Rattus norvegicus: one gene and its partners. The protein of the gene in region 1 purifies or fractionates together with the protein of each later gene. This does not show direct contact. Links are inferred from orthologs where the notes say so. Each region holds a gene or a part of one and is shown in the gene's direction. Other genes may lie near its edges. The genes, in order: Eif2ak2, Npm1 and Mavs.

Region 1 (3,652 bases):
GTGTGTGTGTGTGTTCTCTCAGGGAGAAATTATGACTGTCAGGGTATGACCATTTGTTCAAAGCTTTACTTCCTTTTTTATTATCTGCATTTCTCCTGAGTGAGAAACACACCAGGAAATTTGTTGACAAAGCTGTGCACTTCTGAGCGCCAACTTACATGCTCTGAATCATGAGGAAAGATGAGACCGTTCAGCAGGAGATGGGCTGGGCTGACAAGGGCTAGGACAGGACCTTTCCACCTCAGGAGGCAAACAAAACAGAGAAAGCCGTGCAAGACCTGCTAGGGAGAATGACTTTCCTTGAGGGAGATGACAGAGAGCCAACATACTGGACATGGCATCCCTGAAGGCGCAAACAGCATAAATGACACATAAACCAACAACAGTAAATGTCATAAACCAACAACAATAAAACAGACCCATTTGGGGGGGCTGGAGAGATGGCTCAGCGGTTAAGAGCACTGACTGCTCTTCCAGAGGTCCTGAGTTCAATTCCCAGCAACAACGTGGTGGTTCACAACCATCTGTCATGGGTTCTGATAGTCTCTTCTGGTGAGTCTGAAGACAGTGACAGTGTACTCAGATCCATAAAATTAATAAATCTTTAAAAAAAAAACAAAAACAAAACAGACTCTTTTGGTCTCTGGGGAGGTGGGAGAGGTGTATGGTTCTGTGTGCTTAGCATGAGCAAGACCCTGGGTACAATTCTCTAACATCAAATAAACAAAGCTATCCAAGATATTTGAGCAGAAAGTTTTTATGAAATAAAGGCACGATATTAGACAAGATTAATTTCATCAATAGAAGGAAATACAGAAGTACCATGAGCGACACTGATCCTTATGAAAGCACTGATTGGAGGGAAGACAGGTGGGAGCGGGATTTTAAAATCACGGAGGCAGATGATAAAAAGTTTTGTGTTTTTCTATGACGATGTCAAAACCAGGCGGCTGGAGCCGTGGGAGCAGAATGAGACACGAAGTGTGATTCATGCGTGAGATGAGAAAGTTTTACCTTCCAACTTACTCTCGCATAATCGTACTCGAAATGCCATTCTTACAATCAATTCAAAGTAGCTAAGCGAAACCACCAATTCTCTTATTATTAAGCTAGGAAAAAATTAGTCAAAAGTTTAGATAAATAGGCTAGCTTTCTTCTCTCAAAGTCGAAGAATGACAATAATAACAATGATGGGAATTTGTGTAAAAGAACACAATAATAAAAATCAATGAAGCGAATTACCAAATCTAGCCCTTTGGTAAGATTAGTGAGGAGAAACTTTGGACCAACCCTGATCTGCTGGAAACAGTGAGGGTTGAGATCATAATAATGTTGCTTCTGCGTGTGTGTCTTTTCCATCAAGCTGAGACCAACAGAGCATGTTAGAAAGTGTTAAATACTTTTTTTTCCCCATGGAAGAAGAAGGGGGATGTGTGGCTAGAAAGGGCTCAGATGTCCGGAGTATATACGGCTCTTACCGAGGACTAGAGTTAGATTCTCAGCGTGTTGGGGGCGCTCAACCAACCACCTGTAACCCAGCGCTCTTCCGGCCTCCTCAGGCAGCCCTATGCTGTAGGCAGGCACACGCATATACATACATTTTAAGATAAAGATAATAAAATAAAACTTTAGGCCCGTGTGTTCTGTGCTGGTAAGGCAGTCTGGCCTCAGGCTCTCTGTGTAGCTCAGGTTGGCCCCAGGCTTTCTTTGTAGCTTGGGCTAGCCTCAGGATTGCTATATGGCTCAAGCTGGCCTTGATCATTTTGCCTGACTCCCAAGGGCTGGGATAACAGATTGCTCACCTGGCTTTTCTTAATGAAGCTATAAAAGGAAACTGGATGACTTGACAAATAGCATATTTATAGATGGCTTGGGAAGTACATTTTAAGTGTGTGTGCCATTCCAAAAAAAGAAAAAAAGAGAAAAGAAGGGGGGGTGGTGGCGTGGAAGGTGGTAGTTATCTGAATTCAGCTATGCATATTTCAAAACATGTTATATACCAAAAAATATGTGCATTTTTAATGTGCTATTTAGGATTTTTTAAATTAAAAGACTTTATTTTTGCAGATTTTTTTTTTACTGATAGACATATAGTTCATTTTTAAAAAGAACCTATAACTAGGAAATTCATAACATGTAAGTTGTGGTCGTTACTTATTTGGTAATTTCCTATGATAATTCATGATTTGGATTTACATATCTTTTTTTTCTTTGTAGGTGGATAGTCACACGGATGCTTCTGAACAAGGTTTAATAGAGGGGAACTACATTGGCCTTGTCAATTCTTTTGCCCAGAAGGAAAATCTGCCTGTAAATTTTGAACTGTGTGACCCCGACTCCCAATTGCCTCACAGGTGAGACTTCTACTGTTTCACTGTATGTGAGCCAAGAAACGGAAGCATTTCCTACACAGTTTCCCAGAAATATTTGCTCCTTTTCTATACAATCATTATGGGAGGTTTTAAGTAATTTATAAACATCTCTTTAATTAAAATATCCAATTCCAGGGCTGGGGATTTAGCTCAGTGGTAGAGCGCTTGCCTAGGAAGCGCAAGGCCCTGGGTTCGGTCCCCAGCTCCGAAAAAAAAAAATAAATTTGAAAATTAAAAAAAAATTCCCGAGGCTATAGGGTCTATTGCAATCAAACTTGGCTGCTTTTTCCCCATGGGTTTACTTTCTGAAATTTCAGTTACCTTTGGTCAACTAGATGGTGAGCTTGGCATAGAAAGCTATCTTGAGAAGAAGACCACTTTCGCAAACCTAGACGTGGGGCGTACTGCACTAGTAGTTCTATTTTATTATTGGCTGTTAATCTTTTACTATGCCTAGGTTGTGAGGTAAACTTTATCATAGGAATGTACAAGAACAATGCGTATTTCTAGGGTTCGATATAATCCATGGTTTCCGTCATCCAGTAGCCCCCGTCGATAAGAGGGGACTGCTGGTTTTTTTTTGAGGTGCACATGAACAATCGTTCCGCTAAACTTTTAAGAGTTCAGGACGCCTATGCATGAGGCATGCAGAGTTCTTCCCTTCCCTGAGGCCGAGGTAGCTGCAACTGCAACTGTGAGAACCATTCTGTCTGTGCATGGAATGACTACCAGTTTCAGTCAGAGAGCGAGTGGCTTGTCTGAGTGTCTGCTCTCCACACTTCAGTAGATAGGCAGATAGTGTGGATCCTCAGGATTGGACTTAGTCCTACTGTGTGAAGAGAGCAGCTGTGAGGGACATGCTGTGTGAACGAGGGTTAGAATCCTGAACACATTGTCAATGAGCTGCCCTCCCCAAAGGGCACAGCACTGTACCCTCGTGGCTTAGCCTCCGTGAGCCCCTTTCTACCAACTTGTTTTCTTTCCTATCTGAGCAGCTCTGGAAAAGGCGCTGGATCTCTCCCTCTCCTCTTCCCTCTACAACTTTTTATCTGAAACCGAAAAGATTTCATTTGTCTGTTGTTAGTTTGTTTTTCAATCATCACTTGGTGTTTTGCCGTCCGATCTTTCAATGAAGCAAGAAAGGATTAGATGTTACCTGGAAAACGTAAACAAGAATGTCCTGGTTATTCATATAGATTGGCGGCCATTTCAGTGAGGTTTAAATTATGTGAGGTAGGGAATATAAATCAAGGTTAAAAGAAAAATTCTCAGTTTGATGG
Region 2 (3,652 bases), on another chromosome or scaffold:
TCAGGAGTTATTATTATAGGAGTTGGCCTATCAAGTTTGATTTTATCCTATCCTAACTTTGAAGCATCTCTCCCAACCCCTTTTTTAAATATGAGTACACTGTTGTCACTGTCTTCAGACAGTCTTAAGAGGGTATCAGATCCCATCACAGATGCTTGTGACTTGATTTTTTTTAAAGGATGACCTACTTGGTTCTCTGAGACTAGCTAGGAAGAATTACTACAATGCATCAATTTATATTAGCAACTTCTCTGTTTTATCTATAAAAGGAATTGTAAGGATAATAGAAATCCTTGTAATTACTATTTGTTAAGAACTGTACTAACAATTTTAAAAACTTTTCCAGGGTCAAGAGTCCTTCAAAAAACAGGAAAAAACTCCCAAAACACCCAAAGGACCTAGCTCTGTAGAAGACATTAAGGCAAAAATGCAAGCAAGTATAGAAAAAGTGAGTAAAAATTACCTTTAAATAGATTCGTCTTTCTCCCACTTTAAATTGTACTAATATGGGAATTCAGGTTAAAAAGTAGATTATAACAATAATCCTGTGCACTCAAAATTTGGAAGGGTGCACTCCAATCTTACAATGTCCTTTCTGGGGTTATGCTGTAGAACCAGCAGAGGGCGCTTGGTTTTCAGTAAAACTAAAAACAGCTGGAAAAGTAAGACACGAGTGTTTGGCTGCCTGAGATTATAGCTAAGGTGAAAAGGATCACCTTTAAGTATTTCACAACAATTTGAGTTATTTCTGTGCCTTCTGTACCAAAGCACACTCAGTCCATGACCTGAAATTTATGTGTGGCTACTAATAGGCTTTCATCTAGTCTTAGGTAGAATTTCTTTCTTGGCCATTTGGCTGGAACTAATACATTATTATATAAAGCATGTTTGTGTAGAAAATTGAATAATACACATGATTATTGGAAAATTAAAGATTCTCCATTATGATTCCAACATACTGAGTATACATGTGAAATGATAAGGAAATTGCCCAGTCCTGTCCTGGCCTCACATGGCTTCAGAAGTTTCTTCCTTTGCAACCACGAACGGATTGGAATTTAGCACTTGGCCAGCACATATATTTCTTATTTAAACTGTAAACTTAAGTTTCCTGGTGTTGCTGATTTATTTTTTATCCCTTGCATACACTGCTAAAATGATGCCCCTCCCCCCCATTTTAATGTGGTCCTATCTCCTTGGTTTAATTGCAGGCGCATTGAACATTCCTGGGCACTACTGGTAAATTAAGCCCAAAGATGGGGAAAGAGGAAAAGGAGAAACAAATATAGTACCATCAACAATCCAGACTGAAGTCTTCTATTTTAATCTCAATCCCCTTTCCTGATTGGCCATCCATTCCCCCTTGCAGGCTGGAAGCAATCGTTTTCCTAAAGCATTTTTCTTTTTCACTCGTGTGATGCAGAAAACTTGACTGCTTTTCTATACCACTTGTGCATATGCCTTAACTCTGACCATGTTTTAATTTTAACCTTTGTATCCTTAGCTGCTCGAAATAAATTTTTGAATGAACCAATAAGGATGTATGTGACAATATTTTTAAATTGTAGTGAATTATCTTCTAGGTGATGGAGGCAATTTAAGTACTCAAGATGAATCTGGAATTTGGAAGCCTTAGACTTGCTAAGTGCATAAAAATGGAAAAAACCTAAAATTTATAGAGAAGTGGACTTTATTTAGAATAGGGATAAATCTCTGTAGTGATAACTTTATGCTGGTTACAGTTGTACCTAGCTTGTAAGAGTTTTGGTGGCAAAACTGACATTGCTGATACTGTGATTCACTGCCTATATTCATAATTGGAAACATGCCAGGTCGGTGCAACAGTGAGGGTAGCATTTTAGAACCCTTTGATTGTGTGCTTTTTGGAACACTTTTATAAACAGTTTTGATTTAATTTGGTTTTTTGGTGGTAGGTGATGACACTAACTTATTATAATAGGCACCAAATTGCTGTATTTGCATGCTGGTAGAACCATACAGTTTTAAACTGGCAGTTTGGAAGGAATTGGACTTTAAGCAGTGAAAAACCATTCTTTCTGAGGTTTGGTCCTCGATGTTTTGTTTTTTTTTTTTTTTAATCAAATGGTAGTGTTGAGGGATAGTTTGTGTAATGGCATGCAAGTCTTTGGAAGTTTTCTAATTGTGTCTCACTTCTGTGCTTGTCCTTAATAATTAATGCTTTCTTCCTCAATAGGGTGGTTCTCTTCCCAAAGTGGAAGCCAAGTTCATTAATTATGTGAAGAATTGTTTCCGGATGACTGACCAGGAGGTAACTGAATTTTCTGTGGACATGACCAAATCTAAAATTTTCATTGTGATTTATTATGACTCTTACTTTTAGACTCTTAAGTTATTGGCTTCTTGTAAAAGGTTCCTAACCACAGACAGTACTTAAATACATGGAAAGAATTTAATTGGCAGACTGAGCAAATAATTTTTAGTGCACATTTTTTCCCCAGCTTTTTAAATAGTTGGTCAATTATCTCTTGGTTACTGAACTTAGTTTTACTCTTGGTAGTGTGTTGGCTAAGGAAATAGGCTGTGGCTTTTTATTTGCTCCATTTGGCTGCTTTACACAGTCTGATATTTGCTCTCTTGGGAGTGGTAGTGTCTTCTCCAGATAGTGAAGGGGGGGAGAACAATATTGGTAAAATCAAACTAGGATAGGTTAAAAAGCCTCATGCATGTGAGATAAATGGTATGGTTTATTGTGGTGGAGTCACTTGGGCCATGCAAGGGTGTGAATTTAAATTTTCTATTAGTTGTAAATAGGAAATATGGGTTTTGTTAGACCTTCTGTATGAACAGTTGATTTAAAGGGTTTCATCAGTCTGAGCTATAGGTGTCTATCCAAACTTCATTAAGAACAGGTTATGTCCCTTTGGGTTTCTCCAGGTTGTGTTCTTTTGCTTTGTAATACTTGCCTGGACTTTACTGTAAACTCAAATTCTGAGTCCCTAAATAGGGTTGACCCACACAGACAGGAGGCAGCATTGGCCATAAAGTCATGGCTAAGCCATTTAGTTAGGAGTCTCATTCATGGCTATGTTTGAGTTAAAATTCTGCATTTTCTCTTTATATGATGAAAACATTAACTTTAATTTTATAAAGTTAACATTTCTTTACCATTTTTCCTTTTTACAGGCTATTCAAGATCTCTGGCAGTGGAGGAAGTCTCTTTAAGAAAATGGTTTAAACAGTTTGAAATAATTCTGTCTTCATTTCTGTAATAGTTGCTATCTGGCTGTCCTTTTTATAATGCAAAGTGAGAACTTTCCCTACTGTGTTTGATAAATGTTGTCCAGGTTCAATTGCCAAGAATGTGTTGTCTAAAATGCCTGTTTAGTTTTCAAGGATGGAACTCCGCCCTTTACTTGGTTTTAAGTATGTATGGAATGTTATGATAGGACATAGTAGTAGTGGTGGTCAGATGTGGAAATGGTAGGGAGACAAATATACATGTGAAATAAACTCAGTATTTTAATAAAGTAGCACTGTTTCTATTTGCTTATTTAATGGTTTCATACTTCATCGGTGCCCTCATCCCAGTTAAGTATTCCTACTATCCCCTCAGTTATTTCTGAGCAGTCATTCCCATCCATGTAAGTCTTTACTTGTGGACATTGAGGGG
Region 3 (3,652 bases), on another chromosome or scaffold:
ATCACTCTCCATTATAGGATATGCTTGGGTTTAGATCCAGCTGAGTCACTCACTAGCTATATGTCCCTTTGGCCCTATTCCTTAAGTTTTGAGTCTGTCACACTGGGGTGAGTGGCCACATCCCTCATGTGTGGCTGCACTTAGCTGGAGTTCCACATCTTCCCTATGCCCAGCACAAGGCACCTGCCATCGTGTTTGTGGCTCTGGTGTTTGTCTCCCTACCTGTTTCCATTCCTTCTGTTTCCACCTGCACAGAGTGTAGAGTACAGAGTCTACACCCAGTCACTTTGCCCTACTCGCCATTTCTCTTCCCTGCCCCAAGGTTTCTCTGAGAATATCCTGGTTTCTAATGATAACGGCCGAACGTCTGGTTCCTCTCAATGTCACTGCCAAGTCATGTGACCAGAGGGAGTTTAGTGTTTGGGCCTGAAGAGAAGATCCGGGAAGAAAAACCAAGCCAATCTTGAACACATCATGTTTGCTTTTGTTTCTCTTTTCTTCCCTTCTTTCCATGTTGGTCTTTTTGTTTGTGGAAGCTACGGTGCTCTCTCAAGAAAGAAATGGCTATGGTAGAGTCAGAGATGGCCATGGCAGGGGTCATTTGGGGATGACAGCTGTGAGGAAAAGGTCTTGGGACAGCAGAGAGTGAGCACTGAAAAGTCTGGCTGTGAAAGGCTGTGCCCCTCCTCACTCATTTTCCTTGCACCCTTTCCTGTCTTCCCCAGTTCTTCTTTCCCTCCTGTTCCCTCCCCAGTGATGGTTATCATGTCTAATAAATCCATCCCACATTGGGTCATGGAGTTACTGAAGGGAGACTAGATGCCCCAAAGCATCCAGGCTTCTTCTATTACCAAGTTACCTCTGATTCTTTCTGGAGATCACTCTGTCTTTGTACCTTAGGGGCCTCACTCCACTCCCTAGACCCATTGCAGTCACCAAGAATTCCTACCACGGTTTCCGAACCTTCTGCATTTGCAGCAGGCCACACCATCCCTGACAGTGGCTTCCAAGATAAACCAGGTTACCCTAAGCCTGTCCAGGACACCCAGCCACCAAAGTCCCCAGTAGAGGTAAGTCCTCATAATCTGTTTTAAGCTGCCTGCTTTTGTGTGCCTGTCTGCTCACTTCTGCCCACCCAGCCTTCCAGAGCCCCTTTCTTTTTTTTTTTTTTTTTTTTATTTTTTTTTTTTGTTGTTGTTGTTCTTTTTTTTTTTTTTTTTTTTTTTTTTTCGGAGCTGGGGACCGAACCCAGGGCCTTGCGCTTCCTAGGCAAGCGCTCTACCACTGAGCTAAATCCCCAACCCCCCAGAGCCCCTTTCTACCTCCTGAAAATCATGCCTCATTTCTGCTAAGAATGCTGGGGTTCCCTAACTAGCTACCTAACTGCTGGCTAGACCTGTGGCCCCTTAGTGTGCTGTTGAGGTCTTTGCAATGGTCATGTGATATGTTGAGCTGGGTAAAAAAGACTAGAGGGTAACCAGATTTGTATGTGAGAGAGGTGATATGAGGGCTCAAGAAGGGTGGGTAGTGACAGAGCTAATTATCAACAGTAAAATCAGGTATCAGGGGAAGATAACTAGTTCCACCGGGATGAAGTGAGTTAACAATGGGGTATAGAAGAAACCCTAGACCTAGACTATGGGTCTGAAGCCATAGGGTCTGTGCAGACTGCTGAAGAAAGGACAGTGGTTACAGACACATGGGTAGGGAACTTCAGCAGTGCCTGGTTTTTTGTTTTGTTTTGTTTTTTTAATGCACTTGAAGTCATCCTGGGGACTGGGCTGGAGAGATGGCTCAGTGGTTAAGAGCACTGACTGCTCTTCCAGAAGTCCTAAGTTCAATTCCCAGCAACCACATGGTGGCTCACAACCGTCTGTAATGGGTTTCAATGCCCTCTTCTGGTGTGTCTGAAGACAGCTACAGTGTACTCATATATAATAAATAAATAAATCTTTAGAAAACACAGTTGTCCTGGGAGGCTGGGAATAGAGCTTTCAGTTGCTGGGGTGCTTGTCTGGCATACACACGTGCCTGAGGTCAGTCTCCAGCTCCATATAAATTGGGCATGATGACACACACCTATACGCCTGCCACTCAGGAGAGAGAGGCAGGCGAATCAGAAGTTCATAGTCATCCTTAGTAAGTTCAAGGCTAGGGTGAGATACGTAAGGTCCTATCTCAAAACAAAACAAAAACAGCAACAACAAAACCAAATAGGTGGGGCTGGAGAGATGGCTCAGCGGTTAAGAGCACTGACTGTTCTTCCAGAGGTTCTGAGTTCAAATCCTAGCAACCACATGGTGGCTCACAACCATCTGTAATGAGGTCTGATGCCCTCTTCTGGTGTGTCTGAAGACAGCTACAGTGTACTTATATATAATAAATAAACAAATCTTTTAAAAAAAAAAAAACCAAATAGGTGGGCTGGAGAGATGGCTCAGTGGTTAAGAGCGCTGACTGCTCTTCCAAAGGTCCTGAGTTCAAATCCCAGCAACCACATGGTGGCTCACAACCATCTGTAGTAAGATCTGATGCCCTCTGGTGTGTCTGAAGACAGCTACAGTGTACTTATATGAAATAAATAAATTAATCTTAAAAAAAAAAAAGGGCTGGAGAGATGGCTCAGAGGTTAAGAGCACTGACTGCTCTTCCAGAGGTCCTGAGTTCAAATCCCAGCAACCACATGGTGGCTCACAACCATCTGTAATGAGATCTGATGCCCTCTTCTGGTGTGTCTGAAGACAGCTACAGTGTACTTATATATAATAAATAAATAAATCTTAAAAAAAAAAAAACCAAATAGGTACTAGGGATGGAGACTTACATTAGGCAAGTATAATCGATGAGCTTCAGCCTCATATGTGAAGGCTTCCTGTAGCCTGAAGCCAAGCAAAGGTTCCGAGGAGCTTGTGCTCTTGAGCCCCATAAATATATGCTGCCCTTTTTCAGCCCCAGGAGAAGCAATGGCTTTATGTTATTTCCTCTATTTCAGAATTCGGAGGAACCCCCACAGGCCAACTTTGGGGCCATTCCAAGGATGTCGGGTGACTCTTTGATATCCTCACCTAACCCACCGGCCCTCAGCCCTCAGCCCTCCAGAGAGCATCCCGAGCAAGAACCCGAACTGGGGGGCCCCTCCACAGCAAGTATGTATAGAGTGTGGTATGAGAGGGTCTCCTGGACCGCTCACATGAAGGTTAGGGTTACAGTTACCACTTGGCCTTCCTTAGATAGGAGGCAGGGTAGAAATAAAAGTGTGTGTGTGTGTGTGTGTGTGTGTGTGTGTGCTGTGTGCATACCTGTGTGTGTAGTAGTAGCAGCAGCAGCAGCAGCTTAAAATGCAGTCATTCATTAGCACATGGCTCAGCTGGGTAGGTCTTCTGATCTTGCTGATTTTGTGTCGGGTGTTCCCTGACATATACATAATGTTCTACTACATCCATTGGCTGGTACTTCCTCATTCTCTCTTCCTCTAGCACAAAAACCCAACTCACAGCATCTGGGTAAGGCTCTGGGTAAATAAAAGAGAGGCAGAGCTCTGAGCTTAGGCTCAGTAATAAGGCAAGAGGTCTTATTACTCCTGCTCTGTTCTGTGGTCAAAACAAATGATAAGGCCAGCCCAGATTCTGAGATTTTTTTTTTTACTAGATTC

The links.
Region 2: the proteins of Eif2ak2 (region 1) and Npm1 purify together in Homo sapiens (affinity purification with western blotting; 3 studies listed by BioGRID and IntAct, with this or other methods). This does not show direct contact. The link is inferred for Rattus norvegicus from reciprocal best matches to the Homo sapiens genes EIF2AK2 and NPM1.
Region 3: the proteins of Eif2ak2 (region 1) and Mavs purify together in Homo sapiens (affinity purification with western blotting; 3 studies listed by BioGRID and IntAct, with this or other methods). This does not show direct contact. The link is inferred for Rattus norvegicus from reciprocal best matches to the Homo sapiens genes EIF2AK2 and MAVS.

Annotation. Positions count from the first base shown.
Region 1 is NC_086024.1:21,954,552-21,958,203, forward strand, and holds part of Eif2ak2 (interferon-induced, double-stranded RNA-activated protein kinase), read left to right. Parts: intron 1-2,217; coding exon 2,218-2,354; intron 2,355-3,652.
Region 2 is NC_086028.1:18,245,599-18,249,250, reverse strand, and holds the end of Npm1 (nucleophosmin), read left to right. Parts: intron 1-346; coding exon 347-448; intron 449-1,211; coding exon of another isoform or gene 1,212-1,220; exon of another isoform or gene 1,221-1,534; intron 1,535-2,215; coding exon 2,216-2,290; intron 2,291-3,165; coding exon 3,166-3,204; 3' UTR 3,205-3,512; downstream 3,513-3,652. UniProt on the Homo sapiens protein: Involved in diverse cellular processes such as ribosome biogenesis, centrosome duplication, protein chaperoning, histone assembly, cell proliferation, and regulation of tumor suppressors p53/TP53 and ARF.
Region 3 is NC_086021.1:138,911,160-138,914,811, forward strand, and holds part of Mavs (mitochondrial antiviral-signaling protein), read left to right. Parts: intron 1-900; coding exon 901-1,070; intron 1,071-2,992; coding exon 2,993-3,146; intron 3,147-3,652.